Linked DNA regions of Alligator mississippiensis. The protein of the gene in region 2 purifies or fractionates together with the protein of the main gene of each other region. This does not show direct contact. Links are inferred from orthologs where the notes say so. Each region holds a gene or a part of one and is shown on either strand. Other genes may lie near its edges.

What was found.
Region 1: the proteins of SF3A2 (region 2) and DNAJC8 purify together in Homo sapiens (affinity purification with mass spectrometry; 3 studies listed by BioGRID and IntAct, with this or other methods). This does not show direct contact. The link is inferred for Alligator mississippiensis from reciprocal best matches to the Homo sapiens genes SF3A2 and DNAJC8.
Region 3: the proteins of SF3A2 (region 2) and CDC5L purify together in Homo sapiens (affinity purification with mass spectrometry; 3 studies listed by BioGRID and IntAct, with this or other methods). This does not show direct contact. The link is inferred for Alligator mississippiensis from reciprocal best matches to the Homo sapiens genes SF3A2 and CDC5L.
Region 4: the proteins of SF3A2 (region 2) and SNRPA1 purify together in Homo sapiens (affinity purification with mass spectrometry; 8 studies listed by BioGRID and IntAct, counting the BioPlex papers as one, with this or other methods). This does not show direct contact. The link is inferred for Alligator mississippiensis from reciprocal best matches to the Homo sapiens genes SF3A2 and SNRPA1.

What each region holds. Positions count from the first base shown.
Region 1 is NC_081829.1:9,952,480-9,959,773, reverse strand, and holds the start of DNAJC8 (dnaJ homolog subfamily C member 8), read right to left. Parts: upstream 3,021-7,294; 5' UTR 2,982-3,020; coding exon 2,913-2,981; intron 873-2,912; coding exon 771-872; intron 1-770. UniProt on the Homo sapiens protein: Suppresses polyglutamine (polyQ) aggregation of ATXN3 in neuronal cells.
Region 2 is NC_081839.1:7,019,660-7,026,867, forward strand, and holds the start of SF3A2 (splicing factor 3A subunit 2), read right to left. Parts: upstream 3,014-7,208; 5' UTR 2,950-3,013; intron 2,928-2,949; exon of another isoform or gene 2,864-2,927; intron 2,639-2,863; 5' UTR 2,585-2,638; coding exon 2,459-2,584; intron 1,676-2,458; coding exon 1,604-1,675; intron 1-1,603. Other genes in the region: PLEKHJ1 (pleckstrin homology domain-containing family J member 1), read left to right, coding at 3,156-3,249, 3,844-3,911, 7,012-7,078. UniProt on the Homo sapiens protein: Component of the 17S U2 SnRNP complex of the spliceosome, a large ribonucleoprotein complex that removes introns from transcribed pre-mRNAs.
Region 3 is NC_081824.1:11,837,161-11,845,146, reverse strand, and holds the start of CDC5L (cell division cycle 5-like protein), read right to left. Parts: upstream 3,015-7,986; 5' UTR 2,893-3,014; coding exon 2,848-2,892; intron 396-2,847; coding exon 292-395; intron 1-291. Other genes in the region: zinc finger protein 107, read right to left, coding at 6,857-7,986.
Region 4 is NC_081834.1:6,848,424-6,855,464, reverse strand, and holds the start of SNRPA1 (U2 small nuclear ribonucleoprotein A'), read right to left. Parts: upstream 3,005-7,041; 5' UTR 2,925-3,004; coding exon 2,843-2,924; intron 2,719-2,842; coding exon 2,571-2,718; intron 2,052-2,570; coding exon 1,973-2,051; intron 218-1,972; coding exon 171-217; intron 1-170. UniProt on the Homo sapiens protein: Involved in pre-mRNA splicing as component of the spliceosome. Associated with sn-RNP U2, where it contributes to the binding of stem loop IV of U2 snRNA.

The DNA.
Region 1 (7,294 bases), on a different chromosome or scaffold from region 2:
GTCATCAACACTGTTACGATGGGCACAAAATCAACAACTCCAAAGAACAAACCCAATGTACTTATAAGGTTTCATGCAGCTTTCTGAGCAATTGATCTACTTTCCAATCAAGTGTTAGGACTTTCCACAGGACTATTCTGCAGATCACCCTGGCAAACAGTGCAAGGAGGCCTCTTTTGCTTCTCAGAACATAAAAGGCTGAGAAGCTGAGGCCAGAGAAAACTAGAAGGTGAAAGAGAGGTCCTAAGAAGGGCTGGCTAAGAAGAAAAACCAGGCTAACGTTTGCATTGCGAGTACAATTCTCTTTCGAGACTTTGTTACACAGCATGCACATGGTGCATTAGATCAGAACAGGACTCTCACCTATGTATACATCAGACAGCTATCATTTAAAACATCACATGTAAGGAGACTTGAATGCATTTACTTCTTTGCAAATTATGTAACTTCATGCTAAGGTAAAACTGACTACTGAGCCTTGCTTTTATTTCAGATATCCAAAATAAAATGCACAAGCAGTAAATAGTGACAAAAGCAATATTCTGTTAAAATTAGAGGCAAATCTGTCAAGTCTGTCAGTGCCAGAATATAAGTGAAATCTACTAAGAGGCCTACCTCCCACTGAGAGTGCAAGGAACATGACACATCCTTGCCCTTGCAATCAGGGCCTACACCGAATGAATTTTTCAACAGCAAGTAGATAGCCAACAGACATAGGAAGCTCCTTGAGTAGGAGAAAGTCAGAGAAGAGGAAGAGTGCTCAGACTTACTTCAAAAGGGTTGAGGTTGAAATAAGAGGATCCAGGACGGGTCAGCCTATCAATCTGGTTTTTTGATGTTAAAACAGAGTCTCGCTTTTCGATCTGCTTCACCTGGAGAGAGGGACAGTTATTACAGCATAATGAATTATACCCTTTTGTAGTGACCATGGGAGCTTTGCTGAGAGGAGGAAGAGACACCTGACCCCAACTCAGGCCTGTAGCCATCAATTCAGTGGGGACATTTCCTTATATAAGAATTAGCTAGAATCATTTGTCAACCTTTTACACTGTGATGTTGTACAACAGCATTTCTCAACCTGCGGGTCATGACCCAAAAGTGGGTTGTAAGAATATATGGAAGGGTCATGAACAAACTTTAAAAATGGATTCTCCTTTAAAGTAGAAAAAATAGTGGGAAACCGTGGATTTTCCCTGGCAGGCTGGCAGAGTTCCAGCCTGCCAGGGGCTGCTTGGGGCCCCCTCCATGCCCCACACCCCACACTGTAGGGGCTGAGGCCTGGGGCAGGGGTTCAGAGTGAGAGGCACTGGGTTGGGACTGTCCATCGATGGCTACAAATGGATCCTGGTACAAAAAAGGTTGAGAACCACTGCTATACAGCACTGCTCTATTTACCCTCCCTGTTGCCTTTCCGCTGTACGAGTTCAGAAACTGCTTTTGCTTCTGTCTGCAGCTTCCCATTAAGGAGAGGTGCCATCCTCCACAGTGCACCCTATTCTTGGGTGTCCCACCAGTACTGCCTTCTGCACTCTCTAATCTGCATAAACTCTCTCAGGCTTTAGGTCCTTACAGACCTATGCAGGTTTAACAGGGATATTTTAAACGGATTTAGTAGAATTGCTGCAAGCTCCTGGACACATATTTTGGGTTGAGTGATTTTCAGTTTAGCTGACTTTCATTCCCTGCAGGATTAAGCTAACCCGAAGTAATCATTCCACTACATGCTTCTGTTGGCCTAACTGACTGCTGAAAAGGTGCAACAGTCACATAAAAGAATCGGGAAGAAAACTCCCTTAAGCATTAGTGGGATGACAGATTTCCAAGACTCGGCTAAGCAGGAGTGGAACAACAAGCTCGACACACAGTGCTTACAGGGTCACGCACGAAATCTCTTTCAGCGCACGAGACTCCTATCTAGGTTATGGTAGGAGAGACGAGCCATATGAAAAGTACAATTATGGCTGTATGTTGTGGCTTAAAATGCTGCATGTGAACCGCACCTACTTGCAACACGCAGTGGGATAGGGGTGGAAAGAGCCACCTTAAGATAAAGGAGGAAAAACATCCCGCCTCTGAAACTGTCTAGGTTACTGTGAGGTCAGGACCATCTTGCCCAGGCTCCTGTCAAGCTGTGGCAAGACCGTAGATGCTGAACAGGAGCTGGGTCTGACCAGGGCTTTTCCCCACTGCTCCTCTCTCACTCACCTAGGGTGTGCGCACATACTAAAGCGACTTAAAATAAGGCGACTTAACTAAATCAGCTTAAGCCACGTCACAGTGTACACATGTACAGCCCCTTGCCGTGGCAGCTACTGTCTGAACTATCGCAGATTCCAGAATCCGAGGTCCAGGGAAGGTCTGTTCAGAGGCCGGGCCCCTCGTTCCCGGGCTCAGCAGCCACCGAAGCCCCTTTCCTCCAAGGCTGCGTCTGCTCCTCCGGGAACCCGGCTGAGCCGTCAGCTGCCACATCTGGTGGCAACGCGCTCCACGCCTGCGTGATAGACGCCGCGCGACAAAAACTACCTCACCGCCTATTCGGACCCCTAGTTCTCGTCTCGGGAGAGTCGATAATACGTCTCTAGCCGCTCGCCATTTCGTAAATCCTTATCGGGGGCCGCTCTTCCGAGCCAAGCAGGCCTCTCGAGTCCGCCCCGCACGGCGGCTGGTCCCCGCCGCCACCATGGCACCAACCCGCGGTGGGGCGTTTCTGCATCCCCCCCAAAACCCTGCTGCTGTCAGGAGCGGGGGTTGCAGCACGGGCCTGCCAGGCCCGCCGACCCCAGCCCCCGGCAGGCACGGAGGAGCCCCGGGCCCGGGCCGGAGCAGCAGGGGAAGGCGCGGAGCTCGCTCAGGGCCGCTCCCAGCGCACGGCCCGGCCCCGCCGCCTTCCCGGCCCCGCGCCGCGCCGCTACCTCGGTGTAGAAGGTGAGAAACGCGTCCTCGGCGGCGACCCCCGCCCCGCGCTCCGCCGGAGCCGCCATTGCTCGCACCACGTGATGCGGGCGCCCTCCCCACGTGACCCCCACCGGGCCCCGCCCCGCCCCGGCGGCGCGTCACGTGACGAGCGTCACAGAGCCCCGCCCCCGGCCGCTGCTTTTCCCGCTTTCGTTGCTTTTCCCGCCCTGCCCCGGGGCTTACCCGGGTTAACACCAGCCAGAGCAGTCGTGGGGCCACGTGGCTCGTGTGATCTGTCCCACGCAGTCAGACCTCGGGGCTTTTATTTGTTATTTATTTATTTTAATTTCATTTATTTATTATATTTTGTTCCAAACCTGGTTGACAAAGGCACCTTGGCAAAGCCCTGGCGGACGCAGGGTCTCACCAGGGACAGGACGCTTTCACCGTTTCATTCAGAGAGCTCGTCGGTGAGCACGAGCCACACCTCTGCTGGAGCCAAGTTCTGTTATAAACTTCTGCCAGCGAGACTGTTAGTTTAGGGGGTAAAGAGCGGCAAACCCTGACAGAGGAAACTGGCTGGTCGCCTTGCTGGGGTCACCTGACCCCCGTTGCCTTTCCTGCCTAGTGCGGGGGGGGGGCTGGACCTGATGATCTTGCAAGGTCCCTTCCTGCCCCGAATGATCTATGAATCTTTAAATCAATGGCCAAATCAAATTCCAAATCCGTGAGACAGTCCAGCACCATAAGTGGCCTACTACTGGCAAACATCCTCCACCCCCATCTGGGGTTTCAGATGTTTCCAAATCCTTTGGTGGGCATCGTATGTGCAGGCCGGAGCCTGGAGGCTTGGGGTTTGGATGCCCCCGAGTTTCGCTTGCCTTTAGCTGTAGGCCCCAGGAGCAAGCTAGGGAGGAGTCCTTAAAAGTGGGTGTAAAGCCAAGACCGTCCCACTCCAGCAGCTAAGTGGGAAGTTTTACTGCATGTGACCTTGGCGGGTGCTATCCCCATGCCAGGAGAGTGGTCTTCCCCAGGTGTGACTAGGAAACCGCTTCAGGGGTCACCTTGGCAGGTAACCATAGGACTACGCTTGATCTGAGCCCACCAGAGGCTGAGAAGCTCTGGGGCCATGAACGTCACATGCCCCTGTGGTGCTGTCAGCAGCAGGAGCGTGGCAGCGGCAAGTGGGGCGCTCCCGCAGGCAGCTGCAGTGCTGGCGGTGGCAGGGTGGCAAGCGCTGACCAGTGGTCGGCGACCACCTCCAGATGCTGCCAGCAACATCAGCAGCAGCCAGCGGCAATCACGGACCGCCCACAGACACCGGCAGTGGTGGGGTGGCGAGCAGTGACTCTGCAGGTGCCGCCAACACTGCTTTTCTCAGGGGGTGCACATGCACCCCCTACACATTGCCAGTGCTAGGGGCTTTTATTTCATCTGGAGAAGCACAAGACAAGCCAAAGCAAGTTCCTCTGAACCAGACGCAGGTTTATGGGGATCTTAGCAACCAGGCAACATCTCCAAAAGCAGCAATATCCAGCAGAGGAGATATAGACCTACTCACTACCGGGTGGCCAGGTCTCAAGGTCCTCTGAATCTGTCCTTACGGCTCAAGGCACTTTCTGGCTCTCACCCCTCTGCCTTTGTGTGGGAAAGTTTTGTTCGGTTCAGGTTCATATTTCCATATTCCCACCCATTCCTCTGAGATAACTTGGCCAACTTGAGTAGGGATCAGAGTTATGACCTGTGACCATTTTTCTTAACCTAGAGTCACCTTAATAGCATTGGGTGCAATCATTGACCTATACAGCTCAACTCGGATGTGTGCGTCTCATCTCCCTTGAAACTGTCTCTCAACCTGCTTTCCACACACACTAATCTCTGATTCAGACTGAACTGCTTCTGGGATCAGAGCATGTGGGAGGAGGAATATAGTGACACACCCACACAGCAAAAAGTGGGGAGGGGTGTCCAGGACTCCCTGATGGGGTTTCTAAATAGACGATCTAAGTTTCACACCAGTTGCCTTCTTGATGCTTATGATTGTGCATATGATTTCTGGTTCTTAGGCCTTGGGTTTATATTTATTTGTAGGTTTGTCACCAGTTTCCATTGAACTAGATAAGCAAGTCTGAGACCAACACCTCCCACCCCTTCTTCATCTTGATACAACAGTCTTTAAGATCACCCCATGGTCAGGAAAGCTAAAGCCATGTCAGTAAAGCCATTTGCACAGCTGTGCATTCACCCACAGGAGGCATCTGTCTGTCTTCACTTCTGGCCTTGACTGGAAGAAGTGAAAAGAACATCTCTTCAAGCCCAGTTCCTTCACCCTCCGTTTCGCAGCCCTGCTGCTCCTTTTGGCCTGCTCAGATGGATGAGTAGTGGTATCATTTATGCCCACTAGTCAGAAAGCCAGAGGATTCTTGGCAACTTATCTATAATGTGGCTTTCAGTTCCCAGCAGGCATCCTACTTCCTAATGCCTACTGACTTGAATGTCAACTCAGACTGATAAAGGACCGTTACTGTCCCCCTTAGGGAAACAATTAATGGAGCAAAGATGGGAACCACAGAGATGCACTATAAAGATTTTTGCTACTTGTATTCAGTAACCAATGGCAGTAGTATGTTGTCATCCTCTATCTGGAGCAGCAACCAGGAGGGGCTGGGCAAAATCAATACCTGCTTTGAGAACTGGAATTGCATTAAAACAGAGGTGTTAAACATACAGCCCATGGGCCAGATATGGCCAGCTGAGCCTCTCTGCCTGGCACACCAGGCTACCACTGGGCCACCAGAAGTTGGGGGACATGGTCTGCCACCAAATTCATGGTCCTTTCGCCTCACCACCTTGGCTGTCAGTGGTCAGCTTGGCTCACTGCAACAGCACTCCCAGTCTGCACTACAGACCAGATGCTGCCACATGCAGAGCGGCCACCACTGCCAGACTTGCAACTGCTGCTGCAGCTGCATTAGCCACCCTCGTGTCTCAGGCTGGTTCCCGACTGCAAGGAGCCCAACAGTCTAGATCCAGCCTGAGGCCCTGGGTGAGTCTGACACCCCTGCATTAAAATATCATGCTCCTGTGTACTCCTCACATCCTCCACTGATTCCTATTCAGCCACCTTGACCTGTCTGCTTTTTTCTGATAGAATAGGTGTGTTAAACATATGGCCTGCAGGGCTCCTGTAGAGGCCAGGAATTTAGGAGCATGGCCTGCTGCCAAATTCTTGGGTATGTATTTCTGTGAAGGTCAGCAAGCAGCAGCTGCATTAACCCCCATGGCTACCTGATGCCATTTATGTTGCCACTATCTGCCCTGTCCTACTGCCAAAAGTGGGTCTGGAGCCCTGCAATCCAGATCCAGACTAAGGGCCAAATGAGTTTGACATTCCTATGCTAAAGGAAGAATGACATTGGTTATCAATGGAAAAATGTTCTTCATCTCCTTTAGGGACCATGTTTTGTGTAATGAAAAGGTCATTCTATACCCTACTGGTGGAGAAAGTGATGCTGTCGTGTCATTCTATTTAAAGTTATAGCCATATTAGCAGTGATTTGCTTTCTGAGGTGGACTGGCAGGTACAGACTGTGACTTCTGTGATACTTTAAAACAAGTTCCTGCCAGTGTCTGCCCCAATATTTGTATCACCTGGAGCTTTTGAGCAAGCTGTTTCACAGCATTTGTTTTCAGTTTTCAGCCATTGATCATATTTGTAAAACTTCTCTTCTGTATCTGCACTTTGCAGGAATTTTTCCATCATCTTATCCAAGGTTAAATTTTCAAAGCAAGTTTGCATATTTGGGGATGCCTGACTTGGGGGGATACTGGTCTTCAGATTGACATCTGTAAAACCTTCCCCTTCAGTGGTGGGGTGGTGAAAGGAGGCAGTCTACTTTGATGAGGCAGCTCGGCATAGGAGTACTCGCTTAAGTCCTTGTGCAATTTATTGTGGGAGGATTTGAACTCTGTGCCCTCCTCCAGCTCTGGGCATGGTGGGGATGCCTGGTACGTGTGGCCCAACAGAAGGCAGCAGCAGCAGGGGCTGTGGCAGCAGGGTGAGGTGAGGACAATTAGTAGCTGGGGCCAGAGGAACCACTGGGATAACCCCAGCAGCTGAGAATTCAGGCCATCTCATTGAGGTGCTTGTAGGTCATGTCTGTGCACCTGTGTTTCTTCAGCCTGTCCTGGCTCTGCTCAAACTCAGATTGAGGCTTCTGATTCAGATACAGCATTGATTTTGTGTGTTTTTGGTTGTAGCTGTGTTGGTTTAAGGACTTGGAGATGCTGGTGCTTCTCAAGGTGGACTTGTAATCGGTGCTGGATGGATTTTTTTCAGAACAGATATGTGTACTGGCCTGCTACCCAGCTGAGCTAGGCTTCAAACACACCACATCAA
Region 2 (7,208 bases):
TTGCATTTTCAGGGCTTCATCCACCACTTTCCACCAACACAATGCTCAACCTCTAATCACTTCCTTTACCCCATGTTCCTCCTCACCCAAAACCCACTCCCCTGTTGTAGTTCTCCCCCTTTTTCACTCCTATGTTTGGTTATTTTGGGAACTGGCAACTGACTAAGGAGCTATGTAGGATCTGACAGGAATGGCACGGAGTCCTAGACCAAGGGTCAGCAACCTATGGCCCATGGAGCCAGAGGGTTTCACCCACTCTGGGGGGCTTTGCCCACGCTGTGCCACAGCCAGGCAGCAGGGAGGAGCAGTGGCAGGTTCTAGCACCAGCCTGCTTCTGACCTGAGCTGGATCATTCCAACCCTCTGCCAGAAAAAATGTTGCTGACCACTGTCCAAGACCTGCTCCAATGCACATACTTATGTTACTTTTCCAAAGTCCTTCTCTAGCTGCATAAAGTTAATCATACTTTAGTTTGCAAGCATTTAAATTAATAAAAATTCAATAATATGACAGTTCATTTATCTTATTTCTCAGCAATCTGCTAATTCACAGCAGAGCTAGTGAATACTATGGTGGACTACAAGCACATCAATCAAATACATTTAAATATTTTTTTTTACCATTCAGTCCAAGTGCCTGATTCTACACAGCCAAATACAGGGACAGGTTTTAGCCACCCAAACATTCAAAAACAATATACAGACAGTTTACTGGCATCATCTCTTTGGAAGTTAGCCCATTTCCTAAGGGTTAAATCTGAAGATCACTCAATCTTATGTTTATTAAGCTTGACAGCAAAGTAGACTGAAGAACTAAAGAAAGAGGCTCAAGCCTAATGAATGATATTACTTAGCCAAGAAAAAACTCTCTTCAAGAACAGCCCTAAAATCAAGGGTATCCAGATTAATGCAAAAGAAAGTTCTTTAAGCAGAACTACTCTGCAGAGCCCAAACTAACCAGAGACACTGACAGACAGTTTTAAGCAGTGTAAAAAAGATATAGCATGTGGATATACCCAAGGAGTAACCAACATACTGTATTAACGCTTTGGTAATGAATGGCAACTTGTGCAATGTACACACAGATGCACTCCCCCGCCATCAGTGACCAACCTCTACACAGATTCATAGACGTTAGGGTCGGAAGGGACCTCAATAGATCAAGTCCGACCCCCTGCATAGGCAGGAAAGAGTGCTGGGTCTAGATGACCCCAGCTAGATGCTCATCTAACCTCCTCTTGAAGACCCCCAGGGTAGGGGAGAGCACCACCTCCCTTGGGAGCCCGTTCCAGACCTTGGCCACTCGAACTGTGAAGAAGTTCTTCCTAATGTCCAGTCTAAATCTGCTCTCTGCTAGCTTGTGGCCATTGTTTCTTGTAACCCCCGGGGGCGCCTTGGTGAATAAATCCTCACCAATTCCCTTCTGTGCCCCCGTGATGAACTTGTAGGCAGCCACAAGGTCGCCTCTCAACCTTCTCTTGCGGTTGAGAAGCTTCTTTGAGAAGCTCTCAGGGACTTGGAAACAAGCCCTCCAGAGCCTAAATCAACAACACTTCAATACTGTCTGTTCTCATTTTTCATAAGAAACCAAATGCTCAACTCACCTCATTGTTGTGCAGCGTCAAGCAGAGTTTGCATTCATAAGAGCCCAAGTGATTTTTCATAAAATAGGGATCCTAAGAAATAAAAAGAGAGTCACAGAAATTAGAAATCACACGCAAGTATCCGTAGCCTGTCTGCATTATATTGAACTCTCAAAAGTATATGATGTACAATCGCCGTGGCATGGAAAGAGGGATCTTAGCTTCTTGCTTTAAATCTTGAGGATAATTTTCCATCTGAAAGGACTTACAGAAAAGAGGGAGGAAACAGTTATTTTTCACTGCCAACAATATTAACACTGCTGCGCAAGAAAATTGCAACATAGGACCCAATACTGAGAAGCCTGCAGTCGAGACAGACACAAGCACGTACGTGATCCAATGACAGTGTCTCTCAATTCAGTGTTTGACAGCGTCTCTTCACGAGGGGATCTTAATTCAAGAAGATTTCATTCCTATCCACAATTCTCAACTAAAACCTTAATTCTGCGAGTGGCTTCACGCAGGTGGAGCACCGTCTGAGAACGGGTGTGTAAAACCAGATGTACATAACAGCTGGCAGGGCAGGGCCATAACTAAGGTCCCTCCAATACGCTTAATAGTAAAACTGCTATGTTTTGCTCATTTACCTCTAACTTCTAGGTCAGCCACATCCTCTTGCCAGTGATTTACTAGACACGGCCTGCACCGGCCCAGGCTGGACTTGGAGAAGCGACATATTCCCTTCCCTCTGGCTACTGACACGCGCCAATCGACTCGACTTCGGACAGCGCACGTTCGCATTGCACCGCAGCGTACCTCGGCGCTAAAATCCCACAGACCCACGTCCCCCAAATATACCACGAGACCAAAACGCACCTTGTTGATGTCGATCGTCTCCAACGCCAACTGCCGGAGCCTCTCCCTGCGGTCCCGGTTACTCTCCGAGGCCGAGGCGACGCCTCCGCTCCCGGTTTTACCTCCAGGTCGATGCTGAAAATCCATGATTTTGGTCTCTGGGGCTTCAAATTATTGAGAAGGAAAAGAAAAAAAAGAACCCTAGAAAAAGCAATGAAAAGAGGACGTGAGTGTGAGATACGCGAGCTGCGAGTTAGTTAATCGATGGGGACGAGCAGCAAAGCTAGAAACTGGGATTTCGTCCCTTCGCGCTCGTGACACCGAAGGGCGCAGCACCCAAGCGGGCGCAGGCGACAGTGACCCGCGACAGGGCTGCCCGCGAGGGGGACCTCCGACACCCCGCCCTTCCCCTGCCCCCCGCCTGACCTACTGCTCCGCTCTCCGCTCCCTCCGGCCCCGTGTGGCAGCCTCGCAGCGAAACTCCCCCCGCACAGCACCCGGGCAATACTCACCCTCACAGGCCGCGTCTCGGCACTGCGCATGCGCCCCCGCGCCGGAAGGAGGAGGACCAGGCTGCTTCCGGCCGCCGAGCGCATCCGGGTCGCGCCAGAGCAAGGGCTTCCGGGGCAGGGGGCGGGGCGGGGTTGGGCGCGCGCCGGGCGCGCAGCTGCTTCCGCGTTGGCGGCGGCCGGCGGGGCCGGGCCGGGTCGGGGCCGCCATGCGCTACAGCGAGCGGGAGCTGCTGTCGCTGTCGCGGCAGCCCGCCGAGAAGGCGGCTGAGATCCTCATGCGCCTGCCCAAGAAAGGCAGCGGTGAGGGGCGCGCGAGGGGCAGGGCAGTTGGGGGGCGGGGCAGTTAGGGGGAGGGGCGAGGCCACATCCTGGGCCGTTGCCGGCCCCTGGCAGCGGTGGTCGGGGGGCGCGGGCGAGCCAGGCTGGAAGCAGGCGTGGGGAGCTGGTGTCCCCTTCCCCTGGCCGCGAGGGGGTTTGGGAGGTGGGGACGGGCTTGGAGAGCCTCTTGCGGGGCAGTTACAAGACGGTCCCCTGAGTCCTCTGCCACGGACCGGCGCCGCCGCGGGGTCCTGTGAGATCGGGTCACGCTGGAAGGTCCCTGACGTGTGGGAAGGGACGAACAAATCCATTTGGTCTGTGAAGTGGAGGCGGCCGGAGGGGCCTGTTCCTTGTCCTGCCACGCGTGGACTGTGCCTCCGCCCGCGCCTGCCCGGGGTCGTCTGACCCCAGCGCTCTTTCCTGCCCGGGGCAGGGGTCGGACTCGATGATGTAATGGGTCCGATCCGACCCTAAAATCTATGAAACGCCCCTCGTGTTGACAAGATGGCTCCTGCTCTTCATCCCACAAACCAGCTTCTGAACGGTCTTTCTCTCTCTTTTTTTTTTTCTCTCCAGTGCTGAAGAAACGCCTCGTGAAGCTGGTCGTCAACTTTCTCTTCTACTTCCGAACCGATGAGGCGGAGGTACAGGAAACGTTTGGTGCTGCAGGTCGTGTTCAGCGTGGTGGGGTGACAGACCTGCTGTAGCCCTGGTTGTAAAACCCTTTGTAGCATTTGACAAACACAGTGAAAATATTTAGGCCACAAAAAGCAACTGCTGTGCCGTCTAACCTTGGCCAACATATTTTAGGTGTCCTGGTCCAAGGGCAAATCAGGAATGTCAAATGTTTGGCGCATGGGTGGCATCCAGCCTGCAGAGGTGGGTTATGCAGTCTGTGGAGCCAGAAACTCGGTGGTGGGGAGCGCAGTGGGGGTTTAACACTGTCACCACGTGCCCCGCTGCCAGAGATGGGTCGTGGTGACAATGGTGGCAGCTTGACTTGCACCGAAAGGGACCTAGGGGTAATGACTGACCATCGCATGACCATGAGCCGTCAGCGCGAGGCGGTGGTCAGCGGGGCAAATGTCATGCTGGCACGCATCAACCGATGCATCTCGTGTAAAGCTAAGGAAGTGGGAGTCTCGCTGTGCTCAGCACTGGTGAGACCGCAGCTGGAGTACTGCGTCCGGTTCTGGGCGCCGCACTTCAATAAGGACGTGGAGAAACTAGAGAGGGTCCAGAGAAGAGCCGCCAGTATGATCAGGGACTTGCGGGGCAAGGCATATGAGGAAAGGCTGAGGGACCTGGGCCTCTTTAGCTTAAAGAAGAGAAGGTAGAGAGGGGACTTGGTAGCAGCTTACCGCTATGTCGGAGGAGTGCATGAGGAGCTCGGTGAACAACCGTTCACCGGGGCACCCTCAGGAAAGACCAGGACCAATAGATACAAACTCCTGGAAGGCTGCTTCAGGCTTAATACCAGGAAAAAATTCTTCTCCGTCAGGGTGTCCAGACTGTGGAGTAAACTCCCTCCAGAGGTGTGCAGTCACCTATCCTGGAGGTTTTCAAGAGGAGACTAGACAGTCACCTCGCTGGGGTCACTTGACCCCAGTTCTTTTACTGCCTAGAGTGTGAGCAGGTTGGACCCAATGATCTGTGAGGTCCCTTCCAGCCCCTGACAATCTATGAACCTGTGAATCTGGCCTCTGAGAAGCCCTTTCGTCTGGATCCAGCCCAAGGGAGCAAATGAATTTGACACCCGTGTCTTAAATATATTTCACTGTCACGGAGACTTGGGGACTTTAGTGTTTACATGTTGGAAATCAGTTAGTTTATGGAAACTGAGAGGGAAGGCTATTTTAATCTCCTTCCCTATCAGTAGAATTGGGAGTCCTTTCATAATCTGAAGTCCTGGTCATTTTTCTTAAGTACATCATTGGTTATATATGCAAGACTAAGTTTAATAGGAAATCACATAGTTATTCACATTTTGTTACTATTCCTCCCTTTGCAAGCAGAAGGGGTTAGAGCAGGGGAATGGGAGATGGGGCTCCTGTGTCCTGCTTATGGCTCTGACACTGACTTGACACATGGCCTTGAGCAAATCATTTTAGATATCTTTAACATTTCTGTATGTTACTACAGATGGATGGAGAACACACAAATAAACCAGCAAACATTTTGAATTAAAGGGTAGTGTTTGCTCAAAGGCTGCTCTTTGCCATGTTACAAATTATATTTTAGTTTTAAAATTTTCCATTTGCTGTCTTTTTCTAACCTGAGTAAAATGCAGATAGAAAAAATAATAATTCTATTTCTTGCTTGTGCATATTTTCACGCTCTACTTCTCTAGCGTACTGCACCAGTATTTGGGCTCTAGACACAACAGCGGAACCTTTGTGTGTTTATGCAGGTTTATTTTAATGTACTGATGCACTTTTCTTTAAAAAAAGTGAATTGGAGCTCACATTGTCCTGACCACACTTGCCTGTCAGATTTGATTTTGTAGAACAAAAAAATAAGCTTTTACACTTGCCACTGATATTTATATAAAATCCCTTTAATGACACTGAGCAAAGAGCAGCTAATGCCTTGTGCAAACTTTAGTCAGGGAGGAGACAAACTTGATCAAAACTGAAAGTATCGTTACACCCCTTCATAAATCCATTGTGCATCCACACCTCGAATGCTGTGCCCAGTTCTTTGTCCTCACACCTGAAAAAGGATATAGAAGAATTAGAGAAGGTACAGAGACAACAAGGATGATTTGTGGTATGGAGAGGCTTCCATATGAGGAGAGACTGCAGAGTCTAGGCCTGTTCGTTTTAGAAAAGAGATGCTTGACTAGGGACATGGTAAAGGTTTCCAAAATACTAAACGGCAAAGGGAAAGTAGGTAGGGATTTATTATTTACTCTCTCTCAGTACAAGAACTAGGAGTCACAAAATGAAACTAGTAGGTAGTAAGTTTGAAACTAACAAAACAAAGTTTTTTCACACAGCTTGTTATTAAAGCTTGGAGCTTGTCACTACCAGATGTTGTGGAAGCTGACAGTTTAGTCAGATTCAAATGGATTGAACAGATTCTTGGAGGGAAGGGGCATCAGTAGCTACTGAACACAGGAGTTAGGGGGACAGCCTTTGAATTAGAACTTCCTAGACCTTAAATGCTGGAGGCTGCAAGTGAGAGAGGAACAGTGGGAAAAACCCACTTCACTCTCCCTCTCAGCATCCACTCTTGGCCAGTGTGTGACACAGGAGACTGGGCAAGATGGACCTATGGTCTGACCGAGTACTTGGCAGTTCTTATGTTCTTACAGTATAATGAAGTTTGATTGCAGAAACAGAGAAATTGGGTATCTGCAGAAACCCTCCATTAGGTGTAAAATAAATGAACTAAAAGCAGTTTCAGGTTAGATGCCTAATCTAAAGGACATCTGATGATGTCTTTGGTTTTACAGTTGCTTTCTCCTATCTCTAAAAATATATTTTTTCATTATTATGAAAATTCTGTGCATAGAAACCATGTCAGGGGTAAATGGTGAAAATAGACACCATCAAAATCCCTGCGAGTATCTAAGTAGCATAAATGCCCTAAACCACCTTAGAAATCCTAGTTTGTGTTGTCTTCTTTCTGTCGTATGAGTTGGTTGATGTCTCCCACATACTCTTTGTAGTGTCCATTGTGTGTTAGGGAGTTGACAATGGGGAAAGGTATGTTAAACCTTCTTTTTGGGTCTTTTTCTAGCCAATTGGAGCTTTGCTGCTGGAGCACTGCAGAATTGCCAAAGAAGAGGTGAACGTCTTTTCAATCAGTGAGTTTGGGATGCAGATTCCCATTCAGTTTCTCTGTAGCGGTCGGTCCCAATGTGGTATGCACCATTGTAGTCTCCATCATAGACCCTGTCCATCCGCTGGTGGAAGAAAGGCAACATGTAAAGATGT
Region 3 (7,986 bases), on a different chromosome or scaffold from region 2:
AAAACAATTTGATTTAGTCCAATAATTTGCATTTTTAAACAAGTTATTTGCATACTGTGCAGTTATTGCTATCATCTGCAATTTGAATAGTTTTCTACTTTTGCTCATAGTCCTTTTAAAGAATAAGTCCTTGCAATACCTTCAGGAAACGTAACCAATTAAAAATTTTGAAACTATTTCTTCTTCCGCTAGACCTGAACCAATAGGAAACTCAACAGTGACCTTTTAAATTCATTAATGAATGATCTTTGTCTTTGAATGCCAGTAATGGCTTTTGTCTTCTCCACTTACCATCTGGCTTTGCACTGTTTTGCTGACTTTCTATGCAACAAAGAAGCAATCCGAGACCACTGGTTTTTGCCATATTTCATTACAGCTGCTTTAAGAATTTCATCCTTAAAAAGAGAAATAGTTGTTATTACTATGGGTCAGTAGTAAACTTTATCAGAGCCAAATGCTCACTTGCAACTCAACAGGGAAATGTAGACAAGGCTTCAGCAAGGGTTAACACCTGAAGGTAGATGTGATTAATGAAGTGAAAATAGTGACAGTCATTTATTCTGAGTATACAACAGCATTTGGGGAACAGTCAGTCTCACCATTTCTCCTGTATGGTTAATTTCCATTGTTTGTGTGGGTCTTTCAAGGAGCAAGAACATCCTATTTTTAAAAAATGCACACCCGTGTAAATATCATGAAAATCAGGGCAGGTATACAGCTAAAACTGACTACTTTTTTAAAGCAGTCTTTATTTCAAGATGATGGTGTCTTTATTTTTCAGGACTGTAGTACCTGACAGTTCAAGTCATGGGTCAGAACTCCACCATGCTAGATGCTGTACAAATGCAGAGCAAAACTAGAAGCTTCAGGGATGCAACACAAATTACACAAACTTATCCCAGCTTGCCTGCACCAGGTCTGTACTAGTAGAGCTAGTGGTTTACATGCTTATATTTGCCCCTTAGGCCTACAGTAAACTTTTGTTCTCCTATAAGTGATTTAGTAAGCTATGGGAGAGGCAAAGATTTTTTGGGGGTGATTCCTTTTACTGGACAGCTGAATAGTTGGGATAAAGTTAGACGAGCTTTCAAATGCTCAAAAGCTGAAAAGCTTGTTACCCCTTTTGAGACTTTCCTGGGGGCAGAAGACAATGCTTTCCTAAATAATTGAGTGGAAACCAGAAGTCTTATTTTGTGCAGCCAAAAGCACACAAGGGGGCCATAAAAAGTGCAGTCTATGAAGTGCTCCATCGCTATTTGCTACAGCTTTGACTAAGGATATGGTGGGGCAAAATGGAAGGGCATCCACTGTTGACAACAGACAGCTGGGGTCAACATATATTCAGCACCAGTTCAGCAGCTAATGGTGCCGATCGCAGGTAAATTTTCCTAACACCGAAAAGCCCTTCCAAAGTGCGCTCTGGCTTTAACGGGAGGCTGATGAGTTTTGGTGCAGGGTATTTCAGGAGAATATTAAGTATTTAATATGAAACATGCTCTACGTATTTACTTTCATAAGCCTCAGATTCCCTTTTCTTGGTAGTTTTTATTTCTTTGCTGGCAGTTGGTAACACAGGGCCCTTCTAGATATTGAGATAAAGGTGTGATGGGATCTGATGCATGATCCATACTATCATGCCTCCTGCCACACCAGACATACATGGCAGGAAGCATGATTGTGGCATTCAACATCAGATCCAATCATGCCTTACTGCTTATGCGGGGGGACCCTGAAATCACGATGCCCAACTTCTCCTGCACTGACAAGTGGCAAGCTCCTGTGGCAGTGACCCCTGCAGCTGACGGGGCTCACAGCTGTGACAATGCGTGGGACACTGCCATGACTGCAACTCCAGCAGCTGCAGGGCTTGCAGCGTGCATGGTGCACAGCTGAGCCCCGTCACAGGGGTGGCCACATGTTCAACTAATGGTGCGATAAGAACAAGCCACGAAGCAACGGCACATATTTTATAAAATAAATTTTATGACTTATTCCTCCTTTTACCACACCAGTAATTTATGAAGCATGTGGCCGGGTCACCACTTCAGACACGATTCCCTGGTCAATTGTGTCTTAAGGGTCATGTGTAGCGGGGGGGGGGGGGGGGGGAGGGGGCGGCCCATGGGTGCAATTAACTCTGTGACAGTGAAACAGTCACAGCGGTTTTTTATCGTGACAAATCATTTGCTTCATGTCAATCATCCAGTGATGAGATCTCCAAGCCTCTATGCCAGGGGTGGGCAGGATGCGGCCCGCCAGGACATTCTATCTGACCCGTGGCGGCCCTAAATAATTTAGAAAATTAATATTAATCTGCCTCTGGCTGCCTGTCATGCGGCCCTCGATGGCTTGCCAGAACTCAGTAAGCAGCCCTCTGCCCAAAGTAATTGCCCAGCCCTGCTCTATGCCCGTCTTGGGGGTGGGGGGAGGATCCCTGAAGATGAGAGATTATTTGTGCTTTGCCCCAAAATAAGCAGCACGAAGGCTGCTTAGGCAGGAGCTGAACCAGAGGACTTCTCTTTGCAGAGGGCTGCTTTGCAGCTTCTTACTCCATATACCACCACCCCAAAGGAGGGAGACTGAGAAGTTAAAAACAAAAACTCAAAGCGGGACTAAGAATCCCTTAATCTCCCACGTGAGCCCAAGAGACCTGAGCTGCGTTTGGCCACAAGGAAGGAAAGCAGCCCAGTACAAACACACAAAGCGCATGCGCACGTCTCCCAGCCTCCTCCCCCTATAAGTGCATGCGCAGGACTCCCGGGCCCTTTTCGGCGCATGCGCTCTCGTGTAGAAGCGCCGTCCGTTGACTGGCCCCGTGGGAATCGGGAGGGTACGGGAAGGGCCTACCTCGGTGTTCCTCCACACCCCGCCTTTAATCATAATCCGCGGCATCTTGGCGGCGAAGTGGAGCGGGCTTCGCAGCGGAGAAAACCGGGGCGGACGGGGGAGAGACGCCGCCGCCGCCGCCGCCTGTGCGCAGGCCGGGATAGGATTCTGCGCAGGCTCAGTGAGGGCAACCGAGTGTCAGAGCTCTGCGCATGCGCAGCGGAGAATGTCGGCCACCGTTCGCGCATGCGCGGGCGCAGAAGGCGGGGAGAGGGGCTGAGGCGCGGAGCGAATCTAGCGCCCCCTGGCGCGCGGAGGTGATGTTGGCGCGGGGATCGCTGAAGGGCCACGTGTGTCCGTGCTCTGCCCCGCAGGTGCTTGTGCTCGCTGGCGAGGCTCCCTTGAAACCCTCGCACAAGTGCAAGCCCCAGGGCCCGCGCCATACAGCTGCCCCTGCACTGGCACCAGTGCGTGTGGGTTTGGAGGCCTGGCAACTGTAGGGCTACTGCAGACCAGGGGCAGTATTTCTGGCTCCTTGCTGGGGTCGTGGGAGCGGTCAAGGAGCTTGCCCGAGATGAAGATCCTGCGTCTGAAACCCGCCCCCACTGAATGCCCCGTCTGCCTGCTGTGGAAACCCATCTTAAAAAGCGTGTTTGCAAGACAAGGGTCTTTGGGGAAATCTGGTATCAGATTTACCCCCCCGAAAAAACCTCATCTGCTTACATCCTTAGATCACCACGGCTACAACCTACACCGTTGCAAGACAACGGGTCTGTTCTGATCCACGAGAAACGTGCGGGTGCTGGTCGGGAATGTTCGCTTCGCCCGCGCTGACATCCTTGTTTGCAACGTACCTTTTCTATGCAAGATCATTTTGTGGAAGTCCTAGAGAAGCGGGGCTGGAAGGGACCTCCGGACGTCACCTAGTCCAATCCCCTGCCTGAGGCAGGATCGTCCCTATCCAAAGCTTCCTGCGCAAAGCCGTCATCTAAATAAACTTAGTACAATTACTGTCAATCCTGATGTGACACAAGATGTAACACCCTAACTTGCCAGAGGTGCAAGAATGCAATTTGGGACATTGGGCCAATGTCCTTTAATAAAAGGTTGTTAACATTTGCTCAAGACATCCCAGGGAGAGCCACATCCCCTGCTAGAGAACGGCAATCCCTCCGTCCCTCTCAGTCTATACCAATCTGACCTTGGGGTAAAATTCCTTCCTGACCTCAAATATGACCACTGGTCTGACCCTGAGCAGAGGGGCAAGACCAGGAACTTCTGGCTTTGGTCTCAGCAGAAACATTAGCACATCCCAGCCAAAATCCTCAGCCTTCCCTGTAGCCAACACCCAATGCCTTAGAGAGGCTTAAACACATCCTGACACGTGTAGCAGTAAGGAGGGGAGCAGATTAGGGGATTCTTAGTATTACTTTCGCCCCATTTCTACCTCTGTTGGGATAATCGCATCAAGTAAGCCACCCTAAGCAACCCCTGCCATTAGAAATCCCCTGGTTCAGCCCCTGCTTAAGCAATCTTGCCACTGCACATCCTGGACATGCAAATAATGTCTACTATTGTATCTACTATTGTCTACTAATGTCTACTATTGTATCCAGAGTAAAGGGCCCAGTGGTTGGTCCCTCAAGCTGTATTTCTATTAGGAAATGAAATAGCCACTGCTTTGCTGAGCAGCCTTTGTACACTCAGTTTTAGAGGGACAGTTAAAAAAACCCCTGATAAAATGAAGTAGCTTGAAATCAGTTTGTGATCACTGCAGCACAGAAGCATTTTGAAAAATTTCAGGGTATTCCAAGATACTGCTTTACAATGGTTATTAAAATCTTACAATTATTACAGTATTCATTGCATTTTGAAGAAGCCATATTAATCTGTTTATAAAGGCAAAGCTGTAAATACTTCAATGGCTAACACTGCATTTTACCAACTTTTGAGCTAAGGTTATTTTAACACATTTAAGACTTTAATAGTGGAAATGTACATCAAAACCATGTACATTATCTGAACACAATTCTATACAAACTGATGAATAGAGATGCAGCACGTTTCCATTATTTATCTTTTCCATATGGGTAGCAGAGAGTTTTTCAAATGATATGGGCAGCAATGCAGAACATGAACTTAAGTGTATTTTTCAGAAACAGCAGTCCACGTTTATAACAGATGCAGGAATCAACTTAGTCACCTCTTCTAAAATAATTTACTTTATTTGATATAAAATCCTACATAAACAAAACTCTTCATGGGTTATGAATTTTAGTAAAAAACAAGGTACATGGGAAACAAGCAGTGCTAAGAAAAGTCTCCTTTAAATAACTATTAGCTAAAATAATAAGAAAAAATTAAAAGACCCATACTTTTTCTATGAAATGTTTATGACCCTGGAGAAGATTTTCTGGACTGGGCTGCACAATAACTAGGATAAAAGTGGTGGGCTCGGCTGGAGCCAACCACGCTTTGTAACTTGCACTTCCAACTTTTTTGGTTGCAAACAAGTTTGGTATTTATCCAGAAATGAGTTTTGAGGATGCTCAGCATCTCACAAAATTAGGCCACTAAAACGGTGGCATGCAAAATATAGACGATTATTTCTGTCAGGCTGCCTGAAAAGTAAATAAGCATCAAAAGATGCATTCACATCAGCAATTCTCAACCAGAGTGCTACGAGACACCCGCAGGAGCGCTGCGATGCCACACATTGTACTCTTGCATTAGAGTTCCCTGATAACCCTAAAGCAGGCAGGAGCTGGCTCAGGCTGTAGGTCTTCCCAGTCTGTCCCCGTTCCCACTCGACCTGGAAACAGAGGCATGAGAAAGAGGCGCACAGGTGTAACTGTTCCCGGGACTGCCAGACTGGGAAGGGCTATAGGAGGAGGTAGCTCCTGCCTGCTTTAGGTTAATGAGAGAGCCCTACACAGGAGGATCACACACAAGTGCCACGGCCATTCCCAGTCTGGCTGTGCAGCAGGTAAGTAGGGCAGTTTTATCTGGAGGCAGCAACAGCCGGTTGACAAGCACTGAGGTAAGCTGAGCCAGCAACAACAGTGGTTCTCAACTGGGAATGTTGCCACATTCAAAAAAGCAGTGGAGGGTGACTCTGGAAAGTCTTTCATTTCTCCTCTCCAAGACTGAAAAGGCAAGATGTCAACGTGGATCAGTGGCTAGTAGTCTATTGACTGGAATGCGTTTACACGTACCCTTTAACCCGCATTGTACATCTCTAAATTGGTGATTGCAATGACCTGGTTCCATAAGTTATTTTCTTAAGTCCGTCCTCTGGACACTGGTATAGAAAACCCCCAGAACAGGGATTGCAACATACAGCAAATGGGAGGAGGGATCCATTTTCAACTAATTTTTCACACAACTCTGCAATTTTTAGTTTGCAAGTTGCTGATGTGCTAGAAAGAATTGGATTAAAAATTATTTCACTTAAATATGTTTTGTCTGCACATCTCAATCATGTGGTACAGAAAAGATCAGCCTACTATAAAGGTGGGGCCTGTACTGAAAATAAGTACAGGAACTCAAATAGCACCTCACATCCTTGCTCACAAGGCAATGGTAGGTGGTGCAAAAGTGTGTTTATCAATCAGGTAGGCACTTACAGAACAACTCTTTCCTATACCAACCCTGGCCTAGATTTTCACCCTTTTCTTAAACTACATTGGGCTTTTAACAGCTTTGAGTCTTTTTAACACAGCACATGATGGAACTTAAATTGAAAATGTACATGTGTTTTACGCCCGCTTTATGCATAATCCCTTAATTTCCATTCAGTGTACTATAGCCCAGATCCCATGGATGCTTCCACAATTTTTACCATGGCAACTTTAAAATTGATGACAGTTGGCATAGTGGATGCAGGGCAAAGAACATGTTTGAAATACTGTGAACTTCCTGGAGCTTATAACCCCAAATTTTAATGAATCCTATTTTACTGTCTAGTCTTCAAACACTGCTGATTGATGGTTCTATACAAAACTGAGGATGGAAAGCATTATATTGAACTTCAGGTATCTGCAGGTTTATCCTTGTGCACTTTTATGTGCTTCTTCAAAGCATATTTATCCCTAGTGGAAAACTCACAGGAATTGCAGTGTAACTTCAAATGAGTCAGCAAGTGGCGCTTGAGGTGGCTCGATGTGCGGAAAGCAAGAGCACACTGGTTGCACGTGTACGGCCTTTCACCTGTATGAATTCGCAAGTGTTGCTTCAGGTTTCCACTGTGAGCAGTGGCATAGCCACACTCTTGACACCTGTAGGTTTTGACAGACAATGGTGATTGCTCTTGGAGCTTGGTACCATCTATATGTGTAACCAGATGCTGCTTGAGGGTTTGCCATTTGTCTGTTGAATAGTCACAGGTTTTACATTTGAAGAGCTCCGTGTTGAAATGCAGGAGCTTGTGTCGATTTAGGTGACTTGTGGTACGAAACTTCTTCTCACAAATATCACAGGCGTGGGGTTTTTCACCTGTGTGAATCATGACGTGGAGCTTAAGGTTACTTAAAATGTATGTCGTGTAATTGCATTCTGCACACTTGTAGTATTGGGCTTGACTTTGTGATGGCAGAGCATTTTTGCTTTCTTTGCCCCTGTAAAGATCCATCGGTTTCTCAAAGCTTTCTGGGCTGAACATGGAATGGACACGCTCCAAGTCTTCCACAGAACTAAGATCATTTCTTCTTAGAGTTGTGCCCTGAGTTTTACACTGCTTTTTAATACGTTTTGAACTGTTCCCTAAATACAGGTAAGAATCATCATATTTACGACATTCCTGTAAGTGCATGTAGCTATGTCTCCGCAAATGGCTAGAGGTCCGAAACATCTTGCTGCATTCATTACACTCAAATGGTTTTTCACCAGTGTGTGTCCTCAAATGCAGCTTAAGGTTGCTATACATGTAAGTGGCATAATCACAGTGCTGACACCTGAACAGTTTGAAAGAAGTCCTACTGGGTGACCTTGTGGCATTAGGCGTAACACTTTCCAGAGGCTCATAATTTGTAACAATTTCATTACGTCCTGGAACTTGTGAAGGAGTGACCTCTTGAGACAACTGCGGCAACACAAAATCATGCTGGTAAGTATTAGGAAGATTTTCTGATCCATTGTCTACAATAGACAGATTGCTACTTT
Region 4 (7,041 bases), on a different chromosome or scaffold from region 2:
CAATGCAAATGTAACAGCTCATTTCTATTTCGTTTGATAGCCTTTTGGCAATTTGAGAGCTCACTCATCAAAATTTATGCATCTTTAACCAATTTAAAGCTGTCGTTAACCATAAGGAAATATACAACATGATATAAAAAAATCTATTCAAACAAATTAAGATTTCATACCTCAGGTAAGTCAGTGATTTAACAGTTGCCAGTGGATCCAGCTCACCCTGAAAAATGGTAATGCAATGAGTTATTTCAGAGCAGTCCAAAACTAAAAGAAGCCGATTCAAGTCTACAGTATTGTCAATGACATCCAAATCACTGGTCAAATACAAATTATACCTAGTATGGTGCTAGGCCCAAAAAACCCCACACCAAACACACATGCACCCCCACACCTCCAAATCATGTCCGTTAAAAAATATTCAACAAATGCCTTACCTTTCTACAAGCAATATCCTGTCAATGTTTTTATAAAATGATGACAAATACTTTGCAGTGGTTCACATAATCATACTACCAAAATCTTCACTAGAGACAGACCTTACAGATAATATTCATTCAAGGTAACAGAAACAGCAGTAAGCAATAAGCAAGTTTCAGGTTTAAGCTACAAATAGCTGATGGAGAACCAAGTAAGCGAGTATTAAGCATGCCATCAAGCATTTCAATATGCTTTGAGTTCCATACCAAAGACTAAATTATGTTCTAATTTATGCCAGTGCAATTGCACTGACTTCAGAGGAGTTATACAGACATAGCCAAGAAAAAAAAAAAGCCTTGAGTGGTAACGTACTAACACTATTACTCATTGATGAAGAATACAAAATTCAAGAGGTAGGAATTTTTCAATACTTTTTCCTAATCTCTACTTTGGTGTGCAAATGAACAGAAAACAAAAAAAGTTTAAAATTAAATAGTTCTGGGTCCGTTTAATTCACAAGATTGTGAAATGAACAGACCAAAAACACCAAAGCATTAAAATGACTTTTGTGAAACCTCCTCATCCACATTTACTAAAATCCCATGACCATTTTACTAGTTAGCTCATTCAAGTCTAATCAAACTAGAATATTAGAGAAAATGTAAGGTTTTTTTCTTTAACTGAGCTGCACATTTTCCGTTACACTATCCAGTATCTGAAGGCAAATGCTAATGCCCCAGTCCTGGGAACAGTGCTGGACATCCTTAGCTAAATGAGATATTCGATCTATTTACATACTATCACCTTGTAACATTTTTATGTGAAAAAAACAATGAATCTCAAAAACATCTCCTGCTTCATTGTACGGCAGAAAGATTACCCTTGTAAGAACAGCTGTCCTAGTGTACACATGGAGACTAACACAATGGTTTTAACTTCAAAAGGTCATCTAATATCTATCTCTCTTTGCATATACATACGTGTCGCTATACAGATATATAGATATATAGATACACACACATATATAGATATATCTCTATCTATATAGCTCTGTGTGTGTGTGTATATCTATATCAATATCTATCTATCTGGATAGATAGATAGATGTGTGTGTATACATATCTATACACACACACACACACCCCCATATATATAGATATCTATATATCTATACACACACACACACCCACACCCCATATATATATATAGATATCTATACACACACACACCCCCCCCCCACATATATAGATATCTATATATCTATACATACACACACCCCCCCCACCCCATATATATATATAGATATCTATACATACACCCCCCCCCCACATATATAGATATCTATACATACACACCCCCCCCACATATATAGATATCTATACATACACACACCCCCCCCCACATATATAGATATCTATACATACACACACACACACACACACACACACACACATACGAGAGAGAGAGAAATAGAGAGAGCGTGAGCGAGCATGAGAAAAAACAAACGACACACGCGTAACTTAAACTTAGCCCTAAATATTTGTAACGGAAGACTTACCAGCTCTGCAATGTTATTGTTCGTCAGAACGAGCTCCTGAAGGTTGGGCATGGCCTGTTCGAGCCCTTCACCAATCCGACTACAATAAATATATTAAAGAAAAGAAAAACCAAAGCTTATTTTATGCTCAAGAAAATTTCAGTAAGAGTCCTGGGAAAAAACTGCAATCTGCCGCCACGCATTTGAATCATCAGACGCCCCCCAGATTCACGGGGGTCGAGGGTGCGGGGAGCGGAGCGCCTGGGCTCTGTTATGATCTTTATCTCCAGCGACAGAGCAGCTCCCGCGCCGGCCGGCCGGCCCACCGTCTCCCATGTCCTGGCCCGTCTCCCATTTACGCTTGCTGTTACGCAGCACAGCCACGGCCAGCGACAGCCCCGCGCAGGCGGCTCGGGCACGTCCCGGCCTCCGGCTTCAGCTGCCGTGCCCATGAAGCAAGGATAAGTGAAGGCCGGGCGCTGGAGGTCTACGTGCCGGGGCAGTCACAACCTGCGAGCCCCGCTCGGAGCCCGTCTGCGACTCCACCCCCGCCCCCAGGGGGGCAACCAACGCACGCCCGGGACGAGCCCGGGACCGATGCCGTGCGGCGCCAGCCCACCAGATGCGGTTGTTGTTCATGAGCAGCGTCTTCAGCCTCTTGAGCAGCGGGAACCCGTCCAGCTTGCGGATCTCGTTGTCCGAGAAGTCGATGGCATCAAACTGGTCCAGGGTCGCGCCCAGGTTCTCGATCACCGGGATCTTGTACCCTGCGGGCGGGCGGGGGGTCAGCACAGGGCACTGCAGCCCCACCCCCCTCCATCCACCCCTCCCCCCACCAGGGCTGCCCCTCCCCCACAGGCCCTCGTGCCGTGCCGCGCCGGGGGCGCTCACCGCGCAGGTCGAGCTCGCGGTCGCGCACGGCGTTGGTGTACTGCGCCGCCTGCTCGATCAGCTCGGCCGTCAGCTTCACCATCCTGCCGCCGCCAACCACGCCGCACCGCTCCGCTCCGCTCCCGCCGCTCCGGTCTGCGCCGCCTCGCCTTACGTCACGTCCGGGCGCGGCGCAGCGCCCAACGCCTCGAACCGCCGCAGTGCGAGGAGCCGAGCGCTGAGCGCCCCTTGAGTAGCCGAGCGCCTCGAACCGCCGCAGGGCGAGGAGCCGAGCGCCGAGCGCCCCTTGAGTAGCCGAGCGCCTCGAACCGCCGCAGGGCGAGGAGCCGAGAGCCGAGCGCCCGAGGAGCTGAGCGCCTCAAGCTGCCGCAGGGCGAGTAGTCGAGCGCCGAGCGCGGTGCCCTGAGGGTGGCACAGCGCCGTCGTGGCGGCCAGTGTGGGAGCAGGGACACTGAGGGCAGGGGTGGTGCTCAGCCCCGTCCCTGCGCCTCCTCCACCCCGCTGCCCCTCACCCTCACTTTGCAGACAGCCCAGCACTGCAGGGAGGCAGGCAGGGCCTGGGTGGAGGCAATCTTCTTTCTCAGACCAACAAGATATTTGCACACACACCAAAAAAAACCCCTAATTGCAAGCTTTGGGGCACAAGCGCCCTTCATCGGACACCGGGGGAAAGATGGCACAAGGCCTGCGCAGAAATGCAAGCTCCTGTCTCCTGGGATTTCACAGCGGGGGGTGAAAGCTGCCCGGGGCAGCAGGTCTGAGCTGGCCAGGAGCCTCTCTCCTCCTTTGCGGGCCTGTGATGGTGCAAATGGCTCTGGACCCAGGCGGGAGCAGGACCTCGGGTTTCAGCCGGTCACCGTTGCTCCCTGCGTGGGGAAATAGGAAGATGTCATTTAAAAAACTGGCTAAAATTCAGTCTCTTCCGTCTTCCAGGTTGTAGCCGTATTGGTCTAGAGGAAAAAGCGTTCGGGGCACGTGGTAGAGGTGATATCTTTTATGAGACCAACAAGATTTTTGCTGTATTGGTCTAGAGGAAAAAGGGATCGGGGCGGGTGGTAGAGGCCACCAAATTTTTTTTTTTTTTTTTTTTTGCAAAAATCTGTTTCGTTGCAAGCTTTCAGGCACAAGCGCCCTTCATCAGGCATCAGAGCAATCGGATGAAAGGGAGTGTTTTCAAGACAGGATTTGTAAAGCACGAATTGCTCCGTGAAGAAATCCTCGATGCTCGGCTGCGTTGCGAACACCGCCCCGAGCTCGAAGATGCCTCTGGCAAGCAGATCCGGCAGCTCGCCGTAGGGTGGGCATCCTAGATGACAGTCCAGTTGTCTTCTGTCCTTTATTGATACGAAACCCGGAGCCTTTATGTCCTCTATTTCTCTCTTGAAGAGAAAAATAAAATACACTGTACAGAAAGCAAGCCACGGAGACGTGGTGTGGGAAGACATGGTGTGGGGTGACCCAAAAAGGAAGCCACCCCATATGGTGAAGAAAAAAATAGAGGATATGAAGGCGTCGGGTTTCGTATCAATAGAGGACAGAGTAGCAGAAAACCGGAATATCCTCTGTGATGGCCACCCTCGCTCACCACCAGGGGGAACTGGTGTAAAGGAGTAGACCTGTCCCTGCCATCAGGAGCAAAGCTGGAAGGAAGAAAGGAGGCAGTGGCTGGATCAAAGGGCTGCTGCTGCACCGAGCCTTTCATTTTGTTAGTGGTCTCTTTGAAGGCCCAATGTGCCAGCCAGATCCCAGACACCCCAGATGCAAATCCTTGAGTGTGTGTATTATGCTGGCAGGCAAAGTTCCTTGAGTAGATGTGCTATCTTGTATTAGACCAACTTTATTATGCTGCGTCTCCTTTTCGACTGCAGGCGTTGCCTGTGAGATGAGATAGGCCTTTGAAGATAACACATTAAAACATGCAGAAAAGGCTGATGACCACTGCATCGACACTGTGCGCTAGTTCAGAGGAGTGCAAGTGCTGCCTGGGGCCAAAGCAGAGGACTAGGCTGAGATGGTCGCAGTTCTATTCCTGGCTTTGCTTAAGACTGCTTGGATGCACTTTGCTGGGTTATGCGCTGCTCAGTCATCAATGACTATTAGGATTGTTTGCCCAACTTGTGAAACTGCAGGGCTGGCAGTCAGAGGTGCTGAGCTTCTGCAGCTCTTGATGACTTGAGCTTGGGTGGCAGGTGCTGAAAAGTGTTGCCAATTCTCCTAAAATGCAGGATGCTGGCTCCGTGGGTTGAGGAATGGATGCCTAAGGGCAAGCACACACTTCAGTACTTCATGCTCCAAGTGTCTTTGACCTTGCCCTGTCTGATGTGAACACAAGGCAATGTGACATTTTTAAGAACAAAACAAAGTTCCCTAGTGCACTGCTCTTCCCCTGAAGCAAGGATGGGAAGATGAGCAACCATGTGATGAATGTTAGTTTCACTGCTTTGATGCCCTACTGTAAGGGGCTCAGATTCTACTTTATAAAAACCTGTAATGAATAGAATAAATCCTGAGTATTTCAGCCTTGAGCACCTGCAAACTTAGGCACTGAAACTCAAGAAAAGGTATGGCCATAGGTCTTAGAAAGTCTGGCTTATTGTGACAGGCTTTCTACAACTATCACACCCCTTGCTTCACATCAACCTTGCACCAGCCATCCCAGGCTTCTCGGTTTTTCACATGCATAATACAATATGAGCATTACCCTCCACAGATATTGAGAAGTCATTCATTTTTCATGAGAGGCAAGGATTTCTTAGGGTGACCTCTTTTATTGGACCAACTCTATAGTTGGGATAAAGTTAGACAGACTTTCACATGCAAGTCGTTCTTTGTCAGGTCTTCATTTTTCCCAACTGTTTTGGGGATTCCTGTGTGGGAGTTGCTTTACAAGTCCAAAAAAGTCTTCAAGAAACCCCATTTTGACATGAGGTCTTGCCTGGGATCCAGTGAAGGGTAAGAGGTTTCTGACGAGCAGCATTGAAGCCTAACGCCCTCTGTTCCAGACACTGGTGTCTTTGTAAACTGACTTACCACTGAGCTGAGCTCCACACGGTGGCACTCCAGAATTAGAGATGCAGCTAGCCCTGTTGGGCAGAAGCCTGGGTAGCTTTGTGCCTTTTAAACTAACTCAGTCAGAGACATATAGCATGCGCTTGGGTAAGCAGAGGGCTGACTTCATCAGATGCCAACCACAATTAGGCATCTTTGGCCCTCCCACCTGGGTGCCCAGCCAGACTGGAGCCTGATGCTTGCTTTGTGCAGGTGTAAGCAAAGACTCAGGTTCAGCGAACTGCAGATTCAGTTGTATCCCCAGACAAAGTGCTGGTGAAAATGCAAACCCACAATAACCATTCTCTGCTCTTTGCACCAGACACCATCATAAACACGGAGCTGTAACAAGTTTCTGCTGTCTCCAGCTGGGCGCAGGCAGCAGGTATAAGCACATCAACTGAGCCTTGCTGGATCACGTTTCACATTTCTTTTATTTCCACAAGTACATATGACAATGGATCTGTGCACACAGCAGTTCTGTACAGAGCCCGAAGGAAGATTGATTTGCTGTGCAAAAATGTGACTTTCTAATTAGCTAGCTCTGAAAGCTGTTAGGTGGTACCAGTGACCTCTCAGCCACACAATCTGTGTGGTGAAATCAAGGTTATTCTGGTGTGCCCAGTAAGAGCTGTTGGAGAAACAGCAATCACTGGCCCTTCAGCTTTGGGGGCCAGAGGTTAAATCCCAGTCACAGGAATTTAGTTCACTCGCTCAAGCCCCTTATATGCCCGTGACTCGGCTCAGGAATGAATGGGAGTGTTGGGCTGAGCTAGTAGCTGCAAGCTGGAACTGAGGTGTGGGAAGCCATGTGGGATGGGGCTAGGACAGCCGTAGTGAAAGCAAACAGTGCTGCCCACTAGAGCGATGATGACCCAGGGTTGGTGTCATAGGGATATTTTACAGGTGAGGATTAGGCAGTGTGGTCACAGTGCAGGATGAGCTGGGCTGTGCTACACCTGGCTGTGCAATACGGAAGGGAAGCAGGGCGGGAGGCCTGCCTCGGCGAAGAGGGTCAGCATCCTACTCTCCTTTGCACAGAAGTAAATCTTAGCCCTCTGGCTCATCGTGACAGGTCTTTTAGAGCTCGCACACCCCTTTCTCTGCAGCAACCTTTTGCCAACTGTCCATACAACCTCCCGTGCACCTGA